3 linked regions of the Rhinolophus ferrumequinum genome follow. The protein of the gene in region 1 purifies or fractionates together with the protein of each later gene. This does not show direct contact. Links are inferred from orthologs where the notes say so. Each region holds a gene or a part of one and is shown in the gene's direction. Other genes may lie near its edges.

Region 1 (7,468 bases):
CACATAGCATGTTTGATTGTACGTGTATTTGTGCAGTGACTGTGCTGGACTGTAAAGATTGGTTGGGCAGTTCGTTCTCTTCTTTCTTGCATTTTTGGGTGAATAAAATGCATTTTAGAGTGGATCAGTGTCTTGACTGAGGCCGGATGCTTCTTGAAGGCATGTTAAAATTTAGAGAATGATTTTTATCATTACTTCATAGGAAGAAGCTTACCTTGTGCGATTATACAGGGGTTACTCAGTCTTGACACTGTTGACATTTTGGCCCAGACAGTTCGTTGTTGTGGGGGTTGTCCTGGGCATTGTTGGATGTGTATCTACCCACTGGCACCATCCCACTTGCCTATTGTCCCCTGTGGAGCAAAGTGCCCTTGGCTGAGAGCCCTGGATGACTATCGGGTTAGAAGGAAGTAGTTGGGACAGTCTGATCCAATACACAAATATTGTTTTCCCCTAACTCTCAGGAAGGTCTTTAATATGCAAACTGTAGACAACAAATAATACTTTTGTATCTGACTTATCCATTCAATAAATATTGAGTATCTACTATGTGCCTTGCACTGGGGACACAGCAGTGCAAAAGGCAGACGTGGTACTGCTCTTACAGAGCTTGCATTTGGGGGACTGAGTAAATAAAAATGGTAAATATCAAGAAGTGCCGTGAAGAAAATAAAGAGGTTTGGAAGGCCTATATTACAGTAGGTGTTCAAGGAAGGCCTCTGCAGAGGTGACATTTGAGCTGAGACCCAAATGACAAGAAGGATCCGGGCAGGTGAAAATCTGGGAGACAGATGCACCAGGCAGGGGTTCTAGGCCGTGTTCCAGAGGGAACAGTAAGTGCAAAGGCCCTGAGGCAGGAGTAAGCATGGTGTTCACAGAGAAGGCAGACCAGCCTGGCTGAAGCAGCTTGAGGAAAGGGTACAGTGGTCGAGAGCGAGCAAGCCAGGTCATGTAGGGCTTCAGAGGTTAAGGGAGGGAGCTTGAGTTCTATTCCAATGAGGAGTCCTCAGAGGGTTTGCAGTAGTAGACTGACATAATTGAACTTTATAGCTTAAAAAAAAAATCACTGTTTGGAGAATTGGACTGTTGGGAAAGATTAATTGGGCGGTCAGGCAGGATGAGGAGTCAAAGCTATTATTTTGGGCAGAGGTGGCAGCAGTGGAGATGGAGAGAAGTTGATGAATTCTGGACAGATGGGTGGGGGCTACTTAAAAAATCCCTTAAACAAAATAACAAAAACCCCCTTACATTTCAATAGCACTTCCAGAAACTGCTTATTACTTTTACTTCTAGGATCCCATGAGCATATGTAGTGCGGGAGACCCTGCTCGCTGCGCCAGGTGTCGTGCAGGGGATCCTGCCGACTACGCCAAGTGTCATGCGAGGTGTGAGGCGGGGTTTCTGGTCCCGCTCCCCACACAAGAACGCAGGACATGGTGAGGCCAAAAAGGAACACCCACGGAGCCATAGGTAGGGGAGTCATACCACTATGTTCTCGCTGGCGGCTGGGTTGGAGACACAGGAAACAGGAGCCACACAATTCTCAACCCTCACTGTGCCGCTTGCAGGCTCAGCCACCATCTTCTTGCTAGCCCCCATTTTTTTCCTGCTAGCCTAGCCACGGCAGTTATATTCGTGGCCAATGGCTCACTGGTTACAGCTGATGGCCAACTAGCCACAGCTGATGGCCATTTGATCACAGTCGATGGCCATTTACTACCTGAGCCAGCACCTTTCTATGTGAGGCCGAGAGCCAGGAAACTGCTTTTTGGGGCTCTGTCCCCACAGCATATCTGAGTGTAGTGACATAAATGATATCAGGGGCATGACAAAGTGCTCTTTCCTTGGGTTTCTGTGGCTTCAGATAAGGCTGCAGAGGCTTATTTATACATGCAGAATGTTCTTTCTGCTTGGCCTCCGGGCTCTGTGCTACCCGCCCCATCTGTTTCTGAGCCTGAAGAAGGCTGTGAACCGGAGAATTTATTCTTCTGGCAGGATCTGCCAATCATAGCCGGGCGGGGAGGGGCCTGGTGGCTGGTGGGACACGTGTGCCGGGAGGGAAGCAGGAAGTGATTTCGGGAGTGGAGCCGGCGAACGAGCGGCAGCAGGGGCTGATGGAAGTGGAGTGGGGGCTTGAGAGGGCACCCTAGTGAGTCGGCTTTTCTGTCCTTCAGCGCCTTCGGTCGGGCTGGAGGCCTGGGGTCTGGGGCCATCAGGACAGGCGTGGGGGACTAAGAAGGGCAACGTGGAGTTTGGAAGGGAGTTCCTCTGGGGAGGGGAGGGGGTTGGCGGGGAAGCGGGGCGGCTTTGGCAGGTGGCAGAGGAGGCAGCAGGGGGCGCGGAGCCCCCTCTGCCCCTCCCAGGGGCAAGTTGGAGGGTGTTGACCTGCCTTCTTTTGACAGTGGTTTTCCAGGATCTTCTTCATGTAGTACTTCATGGTGGGCTTGTGGGGGACCCTGGAGCCCTGGGAGTGCGGGTGGCTGCCGTTCCAGCTGCAACGTGTCTGTTCCCACTGGCTCTGGGGGTCAGCAGGTCCTCCTGAACTTGGCTGGGCATCTGGTTCAGGTGCAGCAGGCCAGAGATGGTGCATTTCCAGTCAATCCCCAGGTCAGCTGGTCCGCGGGCCACACTTTCAGTGGGGAGGTCCTGGAGAACTTTTCCACAGTCACAGCAGCCCAAACCCGAATCGTTTTGCTGGATTTCCCTCGTGGAGTCAGGGCGTCTGTGTGCAGTGCCATTATGCGCTGTTTCCACCTCTGCAGCTTCACCCACATCTTGGAGCTGACTCTTGGAAGCAGGGCAAGAGGTTTGAAAGGGAGAGAAAAAATCCTGGATCAACTGGGAGCACCTCATGTCCTGCTGTAGTGACCACATGTGGGGTGGTGTTGGCATCTTTGAAGTTGGGGTGGGAAGGGAATAACCCCCTACTCTGCAAACGAATCAAGGTTTATGTGTTAACATCCAGCTTACAAGGAAGCCTGGGCCTCATTGTGGAAGCTGAGTTTGACGTCCCCAGGCTGACCGCTCCCTGTCCCCAAGGTGCTATTGGTCTACCTACTGGAGAAAACTCGTTGTTATCTCGTGACTTGACTTGGCGTCAGCCTTGCCAGGCCCTTGTAGGGCAGGAGAATCACTTTCTAAGCTCTTGGCCCTGTAGAATTTGTTCCAGCTTTAGACCAGTGCTTTCCACATGAATGTGCCCTGTGCCTAAGAATGCCCCATGCAACCGGATAAAACTCAAGATTCTGATTCAGCAAGTCTGGGGTGCGGCAGAGAGTCTGCATTTCTAGCCTGCTCCCAAGGGCGACCAGTGCTCCAGGTTCTCGGACCACCCTTTTTAAAACAGCGAAGGGGAGAAACTTCTCCAAGAGCGGCTGGGCTTTCATGACCAATGAACAGTGCTGCGACTGTTGGGGTGGGAAGGATGATGGCCTTGGTCTTCCTTCTGTGTTCCTTTTTCTTATAGCTCAGGGTGCTCAGCTGTCAATGGAGACAGGCCTAGAAGAGTGCCTTTCCCTCCTACCAGCCCCCAGGGACACCCACGAGGTCCTTGTTTCCCAGCCCACAAAACCCACATTAACTGGCCTTTTGGGAAATGCAAATGGTTTCCTCTCTTCTGTAGCTGTTAAAAGGCGCGAATTCAGTACTGGGGCAAAAAAGGTGTTTGTTTGTTTGTTTTAATGACCTGTCTTGGGTCATAAGTACTAAGAGGATGATAGCTGTATGCCTTTCTTTGTAAATACTATTGAAAATTTTATCCACAAGCAGCTAGAAATAGAAAATTGGTGTCTTGATCTAGATGTGTCGTTTTAAAAACACACAAACCACTCTTTTTAGGGTAACTTAACAAGATGACATATATAAAAGGGTGTATTTTTTTTTTAATGATTGTTTTTTTTTTTTTCTTTATTTGGTACAGTCACCATCCTGGGTTCTACTTAGGCTATGGGGACACCATTTGAGTCCATAAATGCTGTCTCTGTCAGAGGTTTCCTGGCACCGGGGCCGAACCTGGGCTCACCTGGGCTTGTTGGGTTCACCTGGACCCACAGCCTTCCTAGGTTTGAATCCTAGCTATGCTGCTGAGCCCTGTGGCGTAAGGGCCCCTCCCTCACACCCTCGGTCATGGTTTCCTTCCAGGGTCAATAGAGAGAGGCGGTGTCTAGCCCACAGCTGCTGGCTCCGAGCGCTGGGACCTGGCAGGGCTGAGCCCGGTGGGGTTGTGTCCAGCCCTGTGGGTGCTGGCAGGCCGGTGGGGAGCTGAATGAGCCCTCTGAGATGAGGAGGGCCTCACCCTCAATGTCTGTGTACCAGCACACAGGACTTTTCAACAAATGGGTTTCTCCACCTTGTAACTTTCCACAGCAAGAGTCTGATTCCCTGTCATTTCAGAGCTAGGGTTTAAAACACGTTCAAGTCTAGAAGAGGCTCTCTGAGCAAACACACGAGGGAATGTCCTTCCCTTTCTTTCGTCTGTGGGCAGTGGTGTAACTTCAGCATCAGCAGTTGCCTGGGGAAATGCCCCTTTTGGCTCCATTTCCTTGTTCTTGCTGGGGGTCCTCTCAAGGTAAGCTTGTCCAAGGTGCCATAAAAAATTCAAGCATTTTCTAGGGGTGCCAGAAAGTTCTACCTACAGGGGTGCCAAATGTGAAAAAGCATCATCCCTGCTCTTAAGCAGCTGATGATATAAAAGATGAAGGAGGCAAGCCCACACAAAGAAGGTGCCCGAGCTGTGCTCATCAGGGACGGGAGTGGAATGGAAAGCATGGAATCGAAGTTGGCATTCGGTGGACAACAGGGGATGCTCTGGGTGTGATGGCTGGAGGTTGGGAAGGAAGGCATTCTGGGAGGAGCCGCGTGAAGAGAGACTTGGAGCAGGACCCTGTGGGACTCGTCCAGGTGCCATAAATAATTAGGTTGAGCTGGAATATGGTGCCCATGTAGGGCACCGTGGTAATAGGCAGGCTAGTTGAAGGTCTGTCGGTGACATATGCCCTTGGCGGGCCATGGGAGCTGCCACGGGGAGCTGTTGAAGGTTGGATCAAAACTTAGGTGGAAGAGCTTCGAGAGGGAACCTGAGCTAGTCACCTATATTTGGAGGAGACTGACCCAGTGATTTGCAAGGGCAGGAGGAAGGCCGATGGGCGGGAAGGCTGTAATTAGACCCTCTGCTCCCTGCCTGCAGGCTAAATAAACAGTCTTTGAGCTTCCTGTGTTTGGAACTATTTTCCAGTGTTGTAACCTCTTTCACAGATGTCTTCTCTGGCATCTCCCCAGGTGTCCCCACGTTTCTTACTGAGAGATGGCATGGCTGAAAGGTGCATACACCAACCCAGACCCAGGCCAGATCAGGTGGATGGGGTTAGAACACCTTAGAACACGTGCATGTCACTGAAAGGGACCACTGGCAGCTGACCCTCTCTTGCTCCTCTGCACACAGCTGTATCCAGCATGCTCCAAGGTCACAGCTCTGTGTTCCAGGCCTTGCTGGGGACCTTCTTCACCTGGGGGATGACGGCAGCTGGGGCGGCTCTCGTGTTCATATTCTCTAGTGGACAGGTGAGTTGCCTGGATTCAGCCCTCGTAGCAGGCTCTGAACCACTGCACAGTCTGGCGGCAGACTCGAGCGCCACTGGCCACACCTCCAGCTCGTGGGTGATGTCCTGTCATTTCCCCCTTCTCCCTGCCAGGCCTGGAGAGCAGGTGTCTACGGTTTAGGCATCACTTGTTCCTCCCCTCCTGATTTGAAGGACGGAGGGAGTGAGAGAAGCCCAGTGAGTCAGGCTCCTTTAGCTGCCTGCCCGATTTCTATCTTCTGTCCAGTTTCTTTCAGGCCTGGTGCAGCTCAGTGCATGACTGAAGGGGAACAATAGATTCTGGGTGTGACTGCCGTTCTCTGTGACCTTGAGGTAGCTGGGGTGACTGGACTGACTTGGGGAAAGGAAGGGAATCTGTTCCCTCTCGTTTGCCCCAAATCCAGGGCGCTGCCTTCCCTCTCCCACCCGCTTTGGGATGGATACACTCAGACCTGCCTCCCCATAGGCCTACAGACCCCCACACCTACCCGCCCCACCCCCACCCACCTTTGCTCTTCCTATGCTCCCACACCCAACCCCCACACACACCTGTATCCCCCGTACCCTACACCCCTTTACACACTCCACATATGCTCTCCCACCCTCCCCACACACCCCCACACCCTCCTCAACCCCATTCCCCACACATTCCACGCACCCCACCCCTTTCCTCCACGGCCCACGCCCCCCTCCTAGGTCCCAGATTCCCTTTTCTTCTCCACACCCTTGACTGCCTCCATCCATTGGCCTAGAGTGATCCGTGGATAACTTGATGAATGCAGCCGTAGAAATTGTAGGAGTGGTAAGCGACTAAGTGATTTAAGATCTATCTAAACAGGCTGCTAGGCGGCTCTGGAAACTAAAACGCGCCTAAGACGTTGGCAAGCCAGGCACTCTTGCGTTAGAGACCAGTAAAGCAGGTATTGATGTCAACGATGAGATCTTGAGATCTTATCGGACCTCCCCGGCTGCCCGCCCCTGCCTCCTCAGCGGGAGGCTGGGAGAACATCACCGCACACAGCCGCGAGTGCCAGCTTACTGTCCACAGGTAGTGAAAACGTTCAAAACCCGGTTCCTGAAGGAGAGACCGCCCCCCTCAGGAGCCAGAGGAGGGGCACCAGGTTATCCTCTTTCACCCCTCCTCTTTCACAACAGCCACGCCAGGTTTGCTGGGGTCCTGTCCTTCTGGGCAGAGCAGCCCATCTTTTCATCTTCACCAGTTTCTTTTCCTTTAAGAAGGAAAGATCTGAGCCGCGCTAGCTGGGGTCTAGCTGGCCGAGCTGGCCATTGAGACCTGAGTTCCATGCAGCACTGTGGTGAGTAGAACCTCATAGCCCCATGTGGCCCTGGCCAGTGCTCTGGGGCTCTTTGGAAGCGGGGAGCCATCACAGAGGGGCCCCCTTTTCCTTTGGAGCTGCAGAGCCCCTAATTTGGCTCGTGTTTGGGTAACCACCCAGGTCAGAAGGGGGAATTGCTGAGACCTTTGTCTTTGTGGAGCATACAGGGCGTCCTCAAGACCACATGTTCGCTGATTCGCTAGAAGGACCCATGGGACTCAGCATGTAGTTGTGCTCATGGCTACGGTTTATTGCAGTGGAAGGACACACAGCAGGGCCAGCAAAGGAAAGACACAGGCAGAGCCCGGGGAAATGTGCGCACAGGTGTCTGCCGCTCCCTCCCTCCTGCGACGGGGCACACAAAGTGTGCTCTGTGTCCCAGCAACCTAATGCAGCAGTGCTGTGACGTGTCTGCCTGGTGATGCCTGTGAAGGACTGAGCTCTCAAGGTGTTCCGTGGGCGCTGGCCACGTAGGTGTTCAGTACCGTGCTGCTTCCAAAATTCCAGACTCATGGGAGGAAAGCAGGGGCCCCGCATCTATCACCTGGTTTGTAA
Region 2 (7,186 bases), on another chromosome or scaffold:
AAGGTCATTCCTCCCCTGCCTCCTGGTGGGACCAGAGAGGACTTTCTCACCTCCCCATCCTGAGGCAGCAAGGTTTGTCCCCTGGCCCGTGTTTGGGGGAGGGAGCCAAATGCTTCTGAGGAAGAAGCACTGTTAGGGGACCTGGGTTACTTATTATACTGGCCCACACTGACCTACATACATCCCTCCCTCTGGGCTCTAGTCCTGCCCACGACTCTCAAGTGCTTGACTTCAGAGAGAAGTGCATGTTCCTCAGAGCTACTCTACCCTTTTTCTTACCTCTGCCTGCCTCTTTCCCTCCCTCTCTTCCATCACCAAATATTTAATGAGCATGTACTATGTGCTACTATATGCCAAGCACTGTTCTAAGCACTGGGGAGACAGTGGTGAACAAAACATACCAGAACTCCTGCCCTCATGGAGCTTACACTCCAGTGGCAGAAACTGACATAAAAAGCCATGGTTATAGGCAAATAGAATGATTAACAAGAAGACTCTTTGAGTTCCTTTCAAAGAGCCAGGTCTTCTCCTCCATCTATCATGGTTTATAGAAACTAAACTTACAAGTAACTTCTCCTTAGATACAATGGTGCACTACGTGCGGTCATCTGGCCGTGGGTAGTAGATGCACCTCTTGATGGCTGCCTTACCTCTGCAGGCATCAGCTTCTTCATCTGTGAAGCGGAGATGGTTGCACCTTCCTCGCAGGGTCGTGGGGAGTATTCTGAGAGTGCGTATCGGCGCAATGCCTGTTGCATGGTAACACACTCTGTTCACCATCCCTTCCTCCTTTCCTGCTTAGAACAGACATGGAGGTATAATCTGTTCCCCTCCTCTACCTTCTCGGGCCCCGCTGCAGCTGCAGACAGGGCAAGAGGCTTCTGGGGGGCCGGTCCAAGGTCTGAAGGGAAATGGGTATGCTAGCAAGGACAGACACCAGCAGAGGCTGGGGCCCTGTATTCCCCGCACCCCCCGCCCCATCTCCAGTCCACTCAGCAGAAACTGTGGAAGAGGCAGCCACCCACCTTCTGGGCAGGCAGTTGTCCTTGGGTGTGGCTGAAGAGGCCTGCCTGGGGTCTGTACTCTTTCTCAGCACTGGTGAGCAATCCTGTGTGTGTGCCCTGGGCAGGCCCTTCGGGAGTCCCCTCTCACCCCAGCAGCCAGCAGCAGCGCCTGTGAGAGTGGGCCTCCAGGGGACTGGGCTGGTTACCAGGCACTGGATCTTGCATGCTTTATTTCATCCTATCTTTCCCAACAATGCTGCAAGTTATGGGCTGTCATGCTTCATTTCACAGTTGAGGAAACTGAGGCTAAGAGAGGTTAAGAATTTGCCCAAACCACTCTCCTAATATATGACAGAATCAGCATTGAATTCAGCTTGTCCAACTCCAGAGCTAGGGTTTTACACCGAGCTGTACCCTTTCTCCCCTCTGTTATCCACCTGCCCCCCCCATCCCCACATCAAATGCAGGGGCAGAGAGTTCCCTGGGGCCTCTAGGATGGCCAAGGGCACTGGGCACTTTGCCCAGCTTACCTGAGTGCTTGCTTCAGCAGCTTTAAAGGAAGGGGACTGTGCCCAATAGCAATGCACAATGGAGACCCTGCCCAAGGAACTGGAAGTCCAAAATGACACCGTTGGAGGGACCTCGGAGGTCATCTCTCCGCATCCTTCCTTTTACAGAAAAGAAAATGGAGGCACAGAAGGGGACATGGGGCCCCTGCATACAGAACTTGTGACCACCCTGCAGACTGCCCAGTGACCTCAGAAACGCTGCACTGGTGCCCAGACACAGGCACAGCAAATAGACTGAAACCGACCGCTTACCTGCTGTAGGACTCTTGGCAACCGAGACCCTCACCGAGCGAGCCTGAGTTCTCGTCTGCAGGTTGTGGGTGTGTTAGAGATAACGTGTGAGATGCCAGCACAGCACCTGGCACCTGCTGTGTACTCAGTGAACTGTCGCTATTATTATCACTCCTGTTGTTTTGGAAGTTCAATGAATGTTAGGTAACACTGTCTCTCAGTTGTCACCTTGCTTCTGTGGTTCTGCTGGAATCACTCCTAGGCCTAGAGAGGAAACAATGCCCACTGTCATCTCTGAACACTGAACTCTGTCTCAGGGGTCAGCACCTGGCAGAACGACTGTGCCTTCCTCCTGCCACCCCCATCAGCACCGCTCATTTGCACGGGTGTCTCCAGCACTCAGGACTGAACCATGCACTGTGGTAGCTGAGGTGGCCGCTGCTAGTTCCCAGCTCTTCTAGTGTGCCTGTGGTTTGAGGCCCGTCACTCAGCCTCTGTCTATGTCACGTTTCTGTTAGTCAGGTAAGCATGGTGATTATCTGCCCCCTTACCCTCACCCCCACCCCCAGGGAAATTTATTGTGTCCATTTAAGGAAGGGCTGGCTGTGAAGTCTAACACCATCCAGAGAGGCTATGCTCCTATGAAGTTTTCTGGGGGGAGTGGGGAAGTCTTCTCTTTGGGACAGAGCTTCCAAGAAGTGACAATTTGGTCAGATGTGAAGCATACTCACCACTGAGCCCTGGAGAATAAAGGGTGAGACTTGTAGAAACTTGGCTAAATTCCAGCTCCTCCTTCCCTCCCTCTCCTCATAGAACCCTTCTTCCAGAGCCATCAGAACCACCCCCTCCAGCCTGATTTCAGTTTGGCATGGTCCAGCTTCATCCCTCAGGCCTAGGGCTGAGTGTGGAGCCTCTCACTAGGGGTTGATGAGATGAGTTTGGATCCCGTATCTTCTTACCTGGTTCTCTCAAGACTAAAGGCAACTAGACATGGATAGACCAGGCTGGGATGAGGGGAGCAAGCCTATGGCAACAGAGGGCCATTGCCGGAGTCTTTCCACTTGGCTGATGTGAGAGCATGTGTGGAAGTGGGGACACCAGCAGGGCAGTTCCCTTACACTTCCTTTGTGTGCAGATGCCTGTGGGGCCTGATTCCTAAGGAGCAAGGTCTCCCTGGTCTCCCACAGAAAACATGACCACTGGGTCTGCCCCATGATTCCTGCATCTGCTACATGTGTGGTTCAGTCTTGAGTGCTGGAGAACCCCGGGGAAATGAGCGGTGCTGATGGGGATGGCTGGAGGAAGGAATGAGCTGTGACCTCACCGTTTGCCTGATTCCCACGGCAGCTTCATTTGGAGGCTGGGACCCTCTGTGGGCCTTCACATGAACCAGTTTCCAGTAGCACTAGTGGGAAGCAGATTCCCTACCAACTTCAGGGTCCTCCTGAATCCAGATTCTCTCAGCCTGGCCACCTTCCACCAAGGCTTTCCCAGCATCCTGGACCCCAGCAATGCCAGGCATTGCTGATGTGTTCTTCCTTGAACACATCAAGTATTTCCATCCTCAGAACCTTTGCTCGGGCTATTGGTGCAGCCCATATACCCTGCCCTGCCCTCCCCCTTTCCTGTCTTTTAAGAACTTATTCAAAAGATTTATCCACCTTCTGTGAAAAGCCTTCCCTAGGACCACTTTGCCTGCCATACATTATTTCTTCTTCTGTGACCCACTTGGTTTGTCTATGGCACCTCTACTCGTTTAGTGTCTGCTCTGTGCCCAGCCCGTGCTGGTGGTCTTCTAGAGCTAATTTAGCCCATCTTGCCTTCTGCGGGAGTGAGAGTGGTTCCCCCGGGGTTCTCAATGCCGCCAGGACTGGGGCAGAATCGCTATAATTTCCGTGTCTGTGTCACTCCCCACTGTTTTGCACTTTGTCGAAAGTGTCAGAGAGATGGCTTCTAGACTGGGCTCTGCTCACTAATTAGTTGCGTGGCCTTGGGCGAATCTTCCAGCCTCTCTGAACTCCCTTCTTCCTGATGAAATGGTGACGATGATACCTCAGCGTTGGCCAGGGACAGTGAGGCGGGTGGAGAGGAGCATGATGAAAGCTGGGAACTCTAGGCCAATGGAAGATGTGCGGTGGTTGAACCCACATTCTCCTTTCACTAGCTGAGAAGCAGCGTCGCTTCCCCTTGCTGTCTTCGAATGTCAAGTGCACCAGCTTCCAATTCCTCCGTGGTGGGGGAGGGGGCTTCGGTCGGCTCGGAATCCTAGGTTGTGGAAGATTCCTGTGCAAACTCTCCTCCCGCCTAGCCAGCCTCCCCTCCCCAAGGACTCGCCGAACATACCTTAAACCCCGCGACAGAGCGCAGGTCAAGCGCAGCCCGGATCCGCACCTCCGCGGCGCGGGCCCGGGTCGGGGTCGCGCATCTCCAGCCAGTGACTCAGGGCCGCTTGGTCGGGAGGTGGGTGGAGGTAGGAGGGACCGATTAGGGCCGCGCGGGGGCAGCCGCCGGTCGCTCTGTCACCAAGCGGTGGTAGCGGAGACTGGCTCTGGCCGGTCGCCATTCCGACGCGGGTGTCTGCCGGGTCTTCCTCACGCGCCGCTTCGCACCCTTGGCGCTTCTCCCCTAGAGCGCAGCAACCCGGACGGCCAGTGGGAGCTGGAGCGCCTGGCGGGCTCTGCGCGCAAATGAATGGGCGCCCGGGGGACGCGCGCGCGCGGGGCTGAAGGGCATTAGGACCGTGAGGATCGCTCCGCGCGCCTGTCTCTCCCCATCACCCCCCCCACCCCCCACCTCTCTCCTTTTTCTGCTCTGCAGGACTGAGCAGCCGGGCGCAAGCGAAAACAAACAGCTGGGGCTGCGAGCGCCCCCGCTCCGGCCCCGAGAGCTCGCCGGCTCGGACCCCCACTCGGGGCGCCCGCCCGCCCACCATGAGGAAGATCCGCGCCAATGCCATCGCCATCCTTACCGTAGCCTGGATCCTGGGCACTTTCTACTACTTATGGCAGGACAACCGAGCCCATGCAGCATCCTCCAGCGGCCGCGGCGCTCAGAGGGCCGGTGGGAGGCCGGAGCAGCTCCGCGAAGACCGCACCATCCCGCTCATTGTGAGTACACCCTGCGCGCCGGGCGGCCGGCCGGGGAGCCGCGGCGCGCGTCCTAGCCTCGCGCGGCTGCAGAGGGCGCGGGGCCCGGCCAGGGGCTGCGTGCCCGCCGCGCTCTGCGGGCTTTGTATATGTTGGAGCATTCCTGCCTGTTGTTATGGCAACCTCCGTTGGGCCAGCGGGGCCAGGGCGCACGGATGGAGGGAGGGTGACAGCGGTTGGGGGCTGGGAGAAAGTGCTGCAAGTTTGGTGGGCCCGGCGTGCGCGCGAGACTGGGAACGTGGCGGCTCTCTCGGCACTGCGCCGCCGGGCCGGGGCCGGGGGCTGCCCGTGCCTCGTCCGCTCCGGAAGGCGGCTGGACCTTGCGCGCAGCTAGCAGGCAGTGGGAACTGCGCGCAGCTGAGCGCGTAGGTGGCCATGCGCACCCCCTCTCCAACCTCCTGGGGGCCAAGGACGTGGGGTGGGGGCGTTGGGTAAGGCAGGATTGCTAGGGGCTGCGCCCGGCTTTGAGCCCCTTTCTCGGCTCGGGTCAACTTGAACCTGCTTCTTATGCACGGAGTACTCCCCATTAACATACCCGGGGCTCTCTGGGTAGGGGAAAGGTCTCGTCCTGTACGCGCCCCTCACCCCATCAGGACGGGTGAGTGGGCAGTGTTTGCGCACCGGCTCGGAGATTCCCTTTCACGAGGTCAGCCCTGCGAGGTCAAGGCGAGTAGGGAAACAAAGGCGGCGGATCACCGCGGGGGTCTCGGCGGAGCTGCGGGACCCTAGGCGCTCCCGGGATCTGGCCTGGGGCGTGAGGAGTCCCCGCCGCCCTGCAGGGGGCGTGCCTGTCGCCGCCTCCGCCTGCGCCCAGGTTGAGGGCTCTGCGTGGCGGGGGCACCTGTTGAGGAGGTAGGCTCTGGGACCCGCCGAGAGGCGCACCCCGGCGTGACGCCTTCTTCCCACCGGGACGAGTGGTGGGCAAGAACCTTGGACGACCCTCGAGACTGCTGGGCGGGGGCTGCTTGGCTGGATGAGGATCAAGAGGAGGGAGAGCAAAGTGTGGGGCCAGGGGGTGGGTAGTGGAGCAGGGTGACGATTCTGACGTGAAAAGATCTGGGCCTGGGCAGGGAGGGGCGAGGAGCTCCTCGGGGCGGTGCAGGGTCAGGAGGGCTAAGGCTTGTGTGGAGTACAATCTGAGATGTTTGTGCAAAGGCAGCTGAGCCCCAGGAATATGGTGGGGAGCGGGTGTTGGTGTGGAAGTGCTCTCATATTCCCATCCTGCCCCACATTCTGTGTCTTGTTACTCGCCCCGCCCCGGAAGAAGTAAAAATCCCCTGCAAAGTACCATATCTCCCTGCTTTGCCTGAGGAGACCTTGAGGTTTACTGGTTTTCCCCAGCCCTTCTCCCCCAGTTCTCACACCCCTGTCTGGTTGAACTCTGGGGCTGAGCCTCTTTAGGTGGAATGTCCCTTTCTTGGCTGAGAGTCCCTGTCATGAGGACACTGTTTCCAAAACACTTGTGGCTGCTTGGACAGAAAAGCTGATGAGGAAAAAAACCTCCTGTGTAAAGACTCCATAGTGCTGGGGTCTGAGAAGACTGACAGATTGGAGTGGAACTGGCCAAACCACTAGTGGCCCCAGGTCCCTAGGGAGTTTCCACACCATGGATTCATCCAAGCTACCTCCTCCTTATATCATGAGAGGGTCAACCCTGGCCTCAGGGTAAGTGGGCAGGAAATAGCAAGGGACAAGCAGGCTGGCTAGAATGTTCTGTCCTCTGTGTGATGTGATGGGCGGAGGGTCCGAGCTGGAAGAGGAAGAGGAGGGGAAAGAGAGGGGAATGGAAGGGAAAAGGGCACTGGGAAGCTGCTGGGTCTCATCCCTTTTGCCTCTGCTTCGGAATCCTAACCTTGCTCTTGGACCTCTCCCCTGCTTCTCTGAGTGCCCTCCAAGATCAGCCCGGAAGGCCACTCAGACTGAGAGACCTGGATGGTGTGGGAGGCCCTACTGGAGGCAATGCAGCAGTTTTGAGGGGTGGAAATTGGAGGTCATGGCGGGCTCCAGTGAACATGCTCCTGCCCTGTCCTGGGTCCCATGGGGTTTGACTTGCTGCAGATTAGAAAAGGGCTGTGAACTGGAAGTCAAGTTTAAAGTGTGAAGGAGTATCAGGGACCTCCCTGGAGCCAGGGAGTGGGGGTGCAGGAAGAGAGGGAGAGTGGAAGTTCCTGGGAGAGAGCGGCAGAGCCTTCTCTGGCCACATAGGGGCATAGCCAGCTCCCTCTCTGTTCTTAAG
Region 3 (7,737 bases), on another chromosome or scaffold:
TTTTCAAGAGTTTCTGTTTTAGACTTTGATATTTGTGACTCTCCTGTGATTCTGACATGCCCAAATATGGTTTTCTTTGTATTTATCTTGCTTATTGCTTTCTGATCTTCCTGGAACTGTAAGTCAAAATTTGTCAGCTATCATTTTTCAAAAATATTTCATTGCCTCATTATACTGATTTTTCTTTTGGAGCTCCAATCCACATATATTGACTTGTATAATACTGTCTTGTAAGTTTCTGGGGTTCTGTTCATTTTTCTTGAATCTTTTTATATTTCTGTTCGCGAGACTATAGAATTTCTCTGTATCTTTTTCCCAAGCCCCTCTAAATTGGCAAGATTCAATCTCCAAATTCTGTCTCCTCTAACAATCAATCTTGTTAGGGCTTGGTTTTAAGCTTTGTTAAAGTGTGTCTAGAGTGGGCCTCTCTCTGGGTGTGGCCTTTATCATAAAAAGTGATTCATCCTGATTCCCATTTTCAGGAAGTGTTAAGGAGCCCTAACCAGTATGTCTGTGCCATAATTCTAAAGTCCCCGGGTCTGCTAATTGTGTGCTACCTCGGTTCTGCTGTCCCCTCTGCAGCAGCCACTACGCCTTGGGTGGCCATGCCTGTGGTTGTACTGTCCAGCGCTCAGGCAAGAACTTGTGGGAAACCCCCCTCACCACATGAATTTTATGACCTCCACAGATTCTTTATTTTAATGCCCTGCTTCATAGATTCCCATCACTTCAAAAGCCTAGAACTCTGATCTCTGCCTTTTAGATAGAGAGACTTCCATATTCTGATTGAACTCCAGGTCACTGCACTGCAGCTAGGAAATTTTCCCGAGGCAGAGAACCAGAAAAACTGGGACACAACTTGTTTGTTTTCTCTCAGGAACCATAGCCCATTTGTATGGTCATTTCCTTTTAGATATTTAATGCTAGCATTTATTCGTGCTCCTACTTGACTATGCATGCGGTGCCTACCCCAACAGCACTGCTCCCTTCTAAGTTGTCTCTATGGCATTCCAAGTCTGCCTTCACATTCTAGCTTTTAGCATACATTCTTTTGGCTGTCTGGTTTGGTGATCAGTTCATACTCTCTTTTCTGGATTATTTAACTCTGTTTCCTTTTGGACTTTAGAGTATAGATAGTCCCCTGATGTGATGCCACTCAATGTGTAAGAGATTCCTTCTGTCAAATGTGACCACTACAATTGAGCCAACCTCCTGCCTTCCCTCCTCATTACTGCACTAGCAAGGGGATTCTGACAACAGGGCATACTTATTGAGCCTTGGTCTCTATTATTTAGATTGAACTGAAAATGAAATGCCTATCAATATAACCTTTTTTTTTCTTTTTACTTGCTAACATAAACACAATTTGGCTAGAGTTAGAATATGTCCATGTAAATATTAAAATTTCCAGTTTCCTAGAAATGACCATGTCATACCTCTGTCCAATGAGCTGCATGTCAAGAGCAAAAGATGGGGCTTTGGGTAACCAATTGCTTTCATTGTTTAAAAAAACAACAAAACAAGACACACATGGCTCATTTCTCTTTATGCTTATCCCCCATCCCCCTTCCACTCACTCACTCTGCCTCAGGAAGTTCTGACCTTAGATTTAACATAAACATGACCTAGACATGATCCCAGAAGAATGAGAGGTGCCTGGAGTAAAACTGAACTAAACCTGTGGTCTGGAACCAAGCCTACACAAGGTCAGCTTAAATCAATCTCAGCTTGACCCAAAACATGTGAGAAATAAATGCTTATGACACTGGGATCTTTTTGGTTATTGTTTATACAACATTATTCTAGCAATAGCTGATTGAGACAATAAGCTAGACATAAATCATGAAAACTCTTAATTAGAAGATAAAATGCTGGTAGACTGCCTGGATTCACTGCCCCGCTCTGTTGTTTTCACTCATATGGATTTTTGCCAAATTAATTACCCCGTGTCTCAGTTTCCTTGACTGTAAAATAGGAATAATAATGTGTTTTTTTAATGAGGATTAAACAAAGATAATCATTTAACATTTGATAACATGATATCTGGTACACGATGCTTAATCAATATTCAAAATTATTATTCAATACCACTGTGGGGTTTGGATTTTACTCAGGCGGCCAGTGGTTTTTAACCATATTTCCAAGAAAGACTGGTGTCTGTCATCTGAGGGGGTTCCCTGATAAATTAGAATTTATCAGGGACTTTTCCCAGTATGCAGATTAATTTAAGTAAATCAATATAAATTCCACATTCTAAGAATTTTTCTCCCCTATGTTTTTAAATCTCTAGTGATTGGCACAACTTTTAAGCAGGCTAACTGAAAACTAGTAAATGCACAAGTAGTAGTATTATTAATTGAACAAATTCAGAAAAACCAATTATACTTTGTTTGACAACTTGTCTTATAAATAGACATGCGTGCTCAAAATTTTCATTTTATATTACACAGGCAAAATATTTTCTCCCAGGAAACTTGCTCCCACTTCCTGTGATGGAACTGAAAATATTGTTCCATAATGCTTTACAGATAATATGGTATTCTGCAAAGAACACATTAATTTGCAGGTGCTGTGCCTGCTTAAGATCACTGATGTTGAGGACTAAGAGTCTTTTGGAAGGAAATCTATTTGTTCATCTGTTATTTTAAGAGAGATCTGAGCTTGAAAGTTTACCATGGCTGTAAGCAAAGGTAGAAAGGGCTGAGAGCAAAGAAGACTAGTGTATAGCCCTAGAAATATAAAAACAATTCCTTGTCAGAAGCAGGGAACAGAAAATAGTTGATTAATGAAAAAGACGTTAGGGAAGTGAGAAAATTTGACAACATTTAGATGCAAGTGGTAAGGGAAAGGAAAGAGATTCTTAAACATTAGTGTAAATGAAAATTACCCCAGGAGCTTAGAAAAATGGATACATAGTCCATATCCCCACTCCCAAAAATTGTGCTCAGAATTTCTGGAATAATGACCTAGAACCTGCATTTTTAACAAATTCCATTTCTGATACTGATTCAGGTGGCGGAGAGTCACATTTGGAGAAACATTAGAACATAATATGCTCTCATCATTTGCAATCATTAATTTGACTCTGCTATTTCAGAATTACTTAGCACTTTTCATGTTTCAGTTACTGGCAAGGATTGCTGCAGATGGGAAGCCAAGGATAAAGGATGATGCCAAGGTTTTATGCCTAATCACCCTGGAGAAGAATAATGCTAGTAATCAAGATGAGAAACACAACAGTAAAATGTGATATTATAAGGAAGGAAAGATGGTGCACTTTATTTTTTTTTGATGTGTTGAATATTGGACTTTTTTAAAGGGTGGAAGTGAGTGGCATTAAATATGAACCCTCTTCCACGTATGGCTCTGAATAAGGTTGTGAATAAGGGAGACAGGATATCCAAAGAACCATCTTATTACTGATAAATGCCAGGTTGGAAGCTGAAGTTAGGGCATGTCACCAATGGTCTTCCGCACACTGGAACCCAACATTAATTAAGATGCCTAGTCCCTACAATTCTACCAGAGTAATTGCATTACTCTATTACCCCTAAAGACACTATCCTGTCCACCCTACCTACAATAGTCCTTTACATTTTTTTTTTACTGTAGATCCTGTACTTGTCATTTACAACATACTTCAGAATTCAGAATGAGCCCAATTGTTTATCTACATATGAGCCTAAGTACTATGACAGCAAAGATCACATCTGATTTGTCTACTATCCCATACTCATAATTTCACACAGTGCTAAGCAAGTAGAAACTCAAAACAATTTTTTCAGTGAATACGTTTTTTAAACAGAACAAATATTAACTTTGGCTTCTGGTCAGGTTTTTCATTTGTTTTTGTTGTTGTTGTTGTTGTTACTGTTTGTTAGTATCTGCTAAGACCAAAGTTCCATGTAAGATGTCAAAGAAGGTAAAGAAAACATTATTCAAGACTATCATAATAGACCACAAAAGCCAGAACTCTTGAGCTCAACTACCCAAAAACAAAGAGATGGAAGCGCTTTTAAGAGTTGAAGTAGGGAACATCACAGGCCACCTGTGTTTACTAATTGGCCTTATTCAAAGGAAAAGTTAACTTTTTCTCTTAGCTTTGTGACAGGAAGTAGTTCTACAAGTTGGAACAAGGTGCCCGCCTAAGTTAGGCTCCTACCTTTCCACAAAGACTGGAAAGATAGGGGTGCTATTGTCTGCCTTGATTACATTTCAAAAGAATGTCTCCCGGTCCTTAATACAATCCTGGGCTGTAAAACTGGCAAGAGCTTTTTAAAGGATTTATTATATACCTCAAAAGGGCAATGGATGAATTTACAATTACAAATTTTCTACAGTAAATACTCTCAAGAAAGGAAGCTCAGGGACCTGGAGACTGGAAGACATTTGTCTCCAATTTGTACCTGAGCTAAGAGAAACGTCAAGCCCGTCTTAACTGTGTTTCTGCAGTTTTACACAAAGGAACTCAACGGTGAGCTCCGCTCTCTCGAGCTTTCCTTATGCAAAGAGCTTCTGTACATTTTACACTACACATTTTTGTTTACTTCCTTAATGATGACCCACCCGTAGAGCGGACTCAGCTCCTCCGGGCAGAGCGTGTGCGCACAAGGCATTGCGCGCCGGACGTCACTGCACGCGCCTGCCGCTACCTGTTAGCAACCGAAAGCGTCCATAGCAGCAGTGGCGGCTGAAATGTACGCACTTCCGGTTTTCCCAGCAGCTGCTGTCGCTTCTGACACCTGCCGCGGCCGGGTCTCAGCCCGGGATTTGGTCACCTTTTCTTCGTTCTCCATTGCGCCCATGGTTCCTCCTGGAGCCAGGGCGGCGGGCCCGGCGGCTCCGGCGTGGTGAGAGGCCGGTCCGGGGACGATGAAGGCCCTGCATTGCAGCTGCTGCCTCAGCCGCTTTCTGGCGTCCGCCCTCCTGCTGCTGCTACTCCTGCCAGGGTTAAGAGGGCCCATGGCGGTACTGTTGCAAGCGGCCGAAGCCGCTCGGGACTCCGGACCCTTGGAGCGTGGACCGCGGACCCTGCCCCCACTTCCGCCTGGCCCCACCGCCGCCCGGTCCCCTGGCCGCGCTCAGGCCGAAGCCGCGAGGCCTCGGGGCGCTGAGGGTGGCAATGGCAGCAGCCCCGGTGCGGGGCTTGAGGCGGAGGACCCAGCCGGGAAGGCGGGGGAAGAAGGTTCAGTGGGTGGCGTTCTCGCTGTGAGCCCCGATCCCGGCGAGAAGCCCATGACCCAGCGGGCCCTGACCGTATTGATGGTGGTGAGCGGCGCGGTGCTGGTGTACTTCGTCGTCAGGACTGTCAGGTGAGGCGAAGCCTCGATCAGCCTTCCCCCAGGGCCCGCTGACCTAGCAAGGCACATTTCTGGAACCTCGCGTTGCCCACCTTCCTCTCCCAGTATCAGGGGTGCCTGTTTGAGTGAGATTGTGAAGATGACTGTCAAAAGACAGTGGTACCTTTGAGAGAATTGAAACCACCAAGTAGCTGCTCCCTTTCATTTATAAATTATACATAGTACCCGCCTCCAAATCCCTTTACCTGGCAAAAAGAGCATACTTTCCCTGAAAGGAAGTAATCTTGTATTGGACCACAATGTGTTGCAATACTTCGCTTTCTATTCTGTACTGTATACTTTGCCAATTTGCCTATTAGAATGAAAACTTCTTAAGGGCAGGATTCCTATTTAGTAGCGTTTGTAAGCCCTAGAGTTCCTTGTACAATACCGCCACTTGATAGGAAATCAATATTTATTTAAGTGGATTAATAATAATGCAGAAGGACTTTATTATGGTAATTTTATAAAATATAAAAGAAAAAGAGTTCTTCCTTACCAGAGATTTTTTTAGTATTGGCCTTTTAATCTGCCCGTAAGCAATTAGATTGTACCCTATGAAGTTTCCTGCATTCCACCATTTTTTACCTGACAATACAATTTTGTATTGTCACTTTCAATGTGTGTCGTACTCCCCATTAATCAGAAATATTTAGCATTCATTTTACATGGCACGGTTATTTCAATGCAAAGTGTTACCAGTTGCGTGATAAAATGGAAAACTGATAACCTATTAAGCAAAGGAAAAATGTTATAAATATGATCCAATTTTAATATTATAGCAAGTGTTTAGTATCCTAAGAAAACTCACTATGTTGACTTTAAATTTACAAATATTTGAATTCATATATGGATAAATTTGATATTTCACACACACACACGTGCAAACTTTCTAAAATGAATTCACCTATAAATAACAATTCTGTCATTCAAAAATTTAAATTTATGAAATACATAGTTTTTAAAGACTATTCCAACTACAGAATGCTAGATTGCTGAGTTATTTAAATTTCAGATTTCGAACAGATATGATCACTTAAATGACACCTTTCACTTTACCTGTGAGGAAATTGACCCAGAGGGTAAAATGATGTATCTGATATTCTATGGAGCTTAATAATAATCTATGATTGTACAATCCACTGTTTGCTTTGTTTGAATATTTTCCAATTAACAAAATGTCTATGTCCTGACCTATGATCAACATTTTTATTAAGTAAACCAGGTCATTATGTTGGACATACTATGAATAAAAATAGACAATTGCCACTTATTTTTCTAATACCCTAATGCCTTATCAAGTAGAAAAGGAATTATATAATCCAACTAGAGATATTTATTATTATCAGTAACCTCCATTTGATGCATTCCTTTATCACTGAAGTAAAATTGGCTTCTGACATCAATCATATTAAAATATTCCAACCATGTAATAAGACTGATTTGGAAAATCTATAATAAAGCCTCTTTTAGTGGGTTAGCTGGGGACCATGTTCTGAAGAGCTGAAATATAGAGCCAAAACGTCAATATTAGGAGCAGTCAGCCAAGAAAAGAGCTGAGGGAGCACTCTCTCAATAGTTTCCTCCTTAATAAAATAGAGGCTAGGTTTTCAGGAAAGCACTGATTTATTGTTTTCCAAACTGTCACATTTTTTCCCTTAACTACCTACCCTCTATTATTTCATACATTTCTTTAAATATGTTTATTTAAACTAAAAGTTACATTTTAAATAAATCTATTTATTATTCCATGAATAGAAAACCAACATCCCTTGGCTTAAATAGCTATTAAAAAACAAAACAAAACAAAACAAAAAAACAGTGTAAGCCACTCGTAGCAGACATTTGGTCCAGCGAACCTTGGGAGGTGGGAGGGTGGGTTCTTTGAGAGCCCTTCAAGGAATCTGCAAGACCAAAGCAATTTTCAAAATAATGCGTTATCTTATAAGTTTATAGGGTATAAGAAGTTCATTGATACAGTTTCAAATTCTACATCACAGCTAATTTTTAAGAAACTACCTCTTGTTGAGTTTTGGTGTAGTAGCAAAAAAGAATACTAGCATCTGAAAAGATTAAAATGCTCCTCCCTTTTCCAAGTTCATATTTATGTGAACCTAGATTTTTTTCATATCCTTCAACCAAACACATTGCAAATGATTAAATGCAGAAGCAAATACAAATATTTACCTATTTTCTATTTTCTATGTCTTTCTATTTTCTATTTAGTTCTATCTGTTTAAGCCAGACATTAAAGGGATTTGAAAAAAATCTAAGTCAGTGCCCTTCTGTCACCTTTTTGTTTGTTTGTTTGTTTTCTTTTTGACAATATGTTTCTTATGAAAAAAGGTATGTTAACATGCAATGGATTTATTATTTTAAATCAAATGATAGATTTTTG

What was found. Proteins that work in one complex are often made in the same cells at the same time.
Region 2: the proteins of SLC39A11 (region 1) and GALNT16 purify together in Homo sapiens (co-immunoprecipitation; 3 studies listed by BioGRID and IntAct, counting the BioPlex papers as one, with this or other methods). This does not show direct contact. The link is inferred for Rhinolophus ferrumequinum from reciprocal best matches to the Homo sapiens genes SLC39A11 and GALNT16.
Region 3: the proteins of SLC39A11 (region 1) and FAM174A purify together in Homo sapiens (co-immunoprecipitation; 3 studies listed by BioGRID and IntAct, counting the BioPlex papers as one, with this or other methods). This does not show direct contact. The link is inferred for Rhinolophus ferrumequinum from reciprocal best matches to the Homo sapiens genes SLC39A11 and FAM174A.

What each region holds. Positions count from the first base shown.
Region 1 is NC_046304.1:48,664,875-48,672,342, reverse strand, and holds the start of SLC39A11 (zinc transporter ZIP11), read left to right. Parts: upstream 1-4,451; 5' UTR 4,452-4,518; coding exon 4,519-4,567; intron 4,568-5,440; coding exon 5,441-5,559; intron 5,560-7,468. UniProt on the Homo sapiens protein: Zinc importer that regulates cytosolic zinc concentrations either via zinc influx from the extracellular compartment or efflux from intracellular organelles such as Golgi apparatus. May transport copper ions as well.
Region 2 is NC_046289.1:27,811,097-27,818,282, reverse strand, and holds the start of GALNT16 (polypeptide N-acetylgalactosaminyltransferase 16), read left to right. Parts: upstream 1-4,126; 5' UTR 4,127-4,264; intron 4,265-4,334; exon of another isoform or gene 4,335-4,621; 5' UTR 4,622-4,734; coding exon 4,735-4,911; intron 4,912-7,186. UniProt on the Homo sapiens protein: Catalyzes the initial reaction in O-linked oligosaccharide biosynthesis, the transfer of an N-acetyl-D-galactosamine residue to a serine or threonine residue on the protein receptor.
Region 3 is NC_046290.1:67,040,431-67,048,167, forward strand, and holds the start of FAM174A (membrane protein FAM174A), read left to right. Parts: upstream 1-4,677; 5' UTR 4,678-4,872; coding exon 4,873-5,312; intron 5,313-7,737.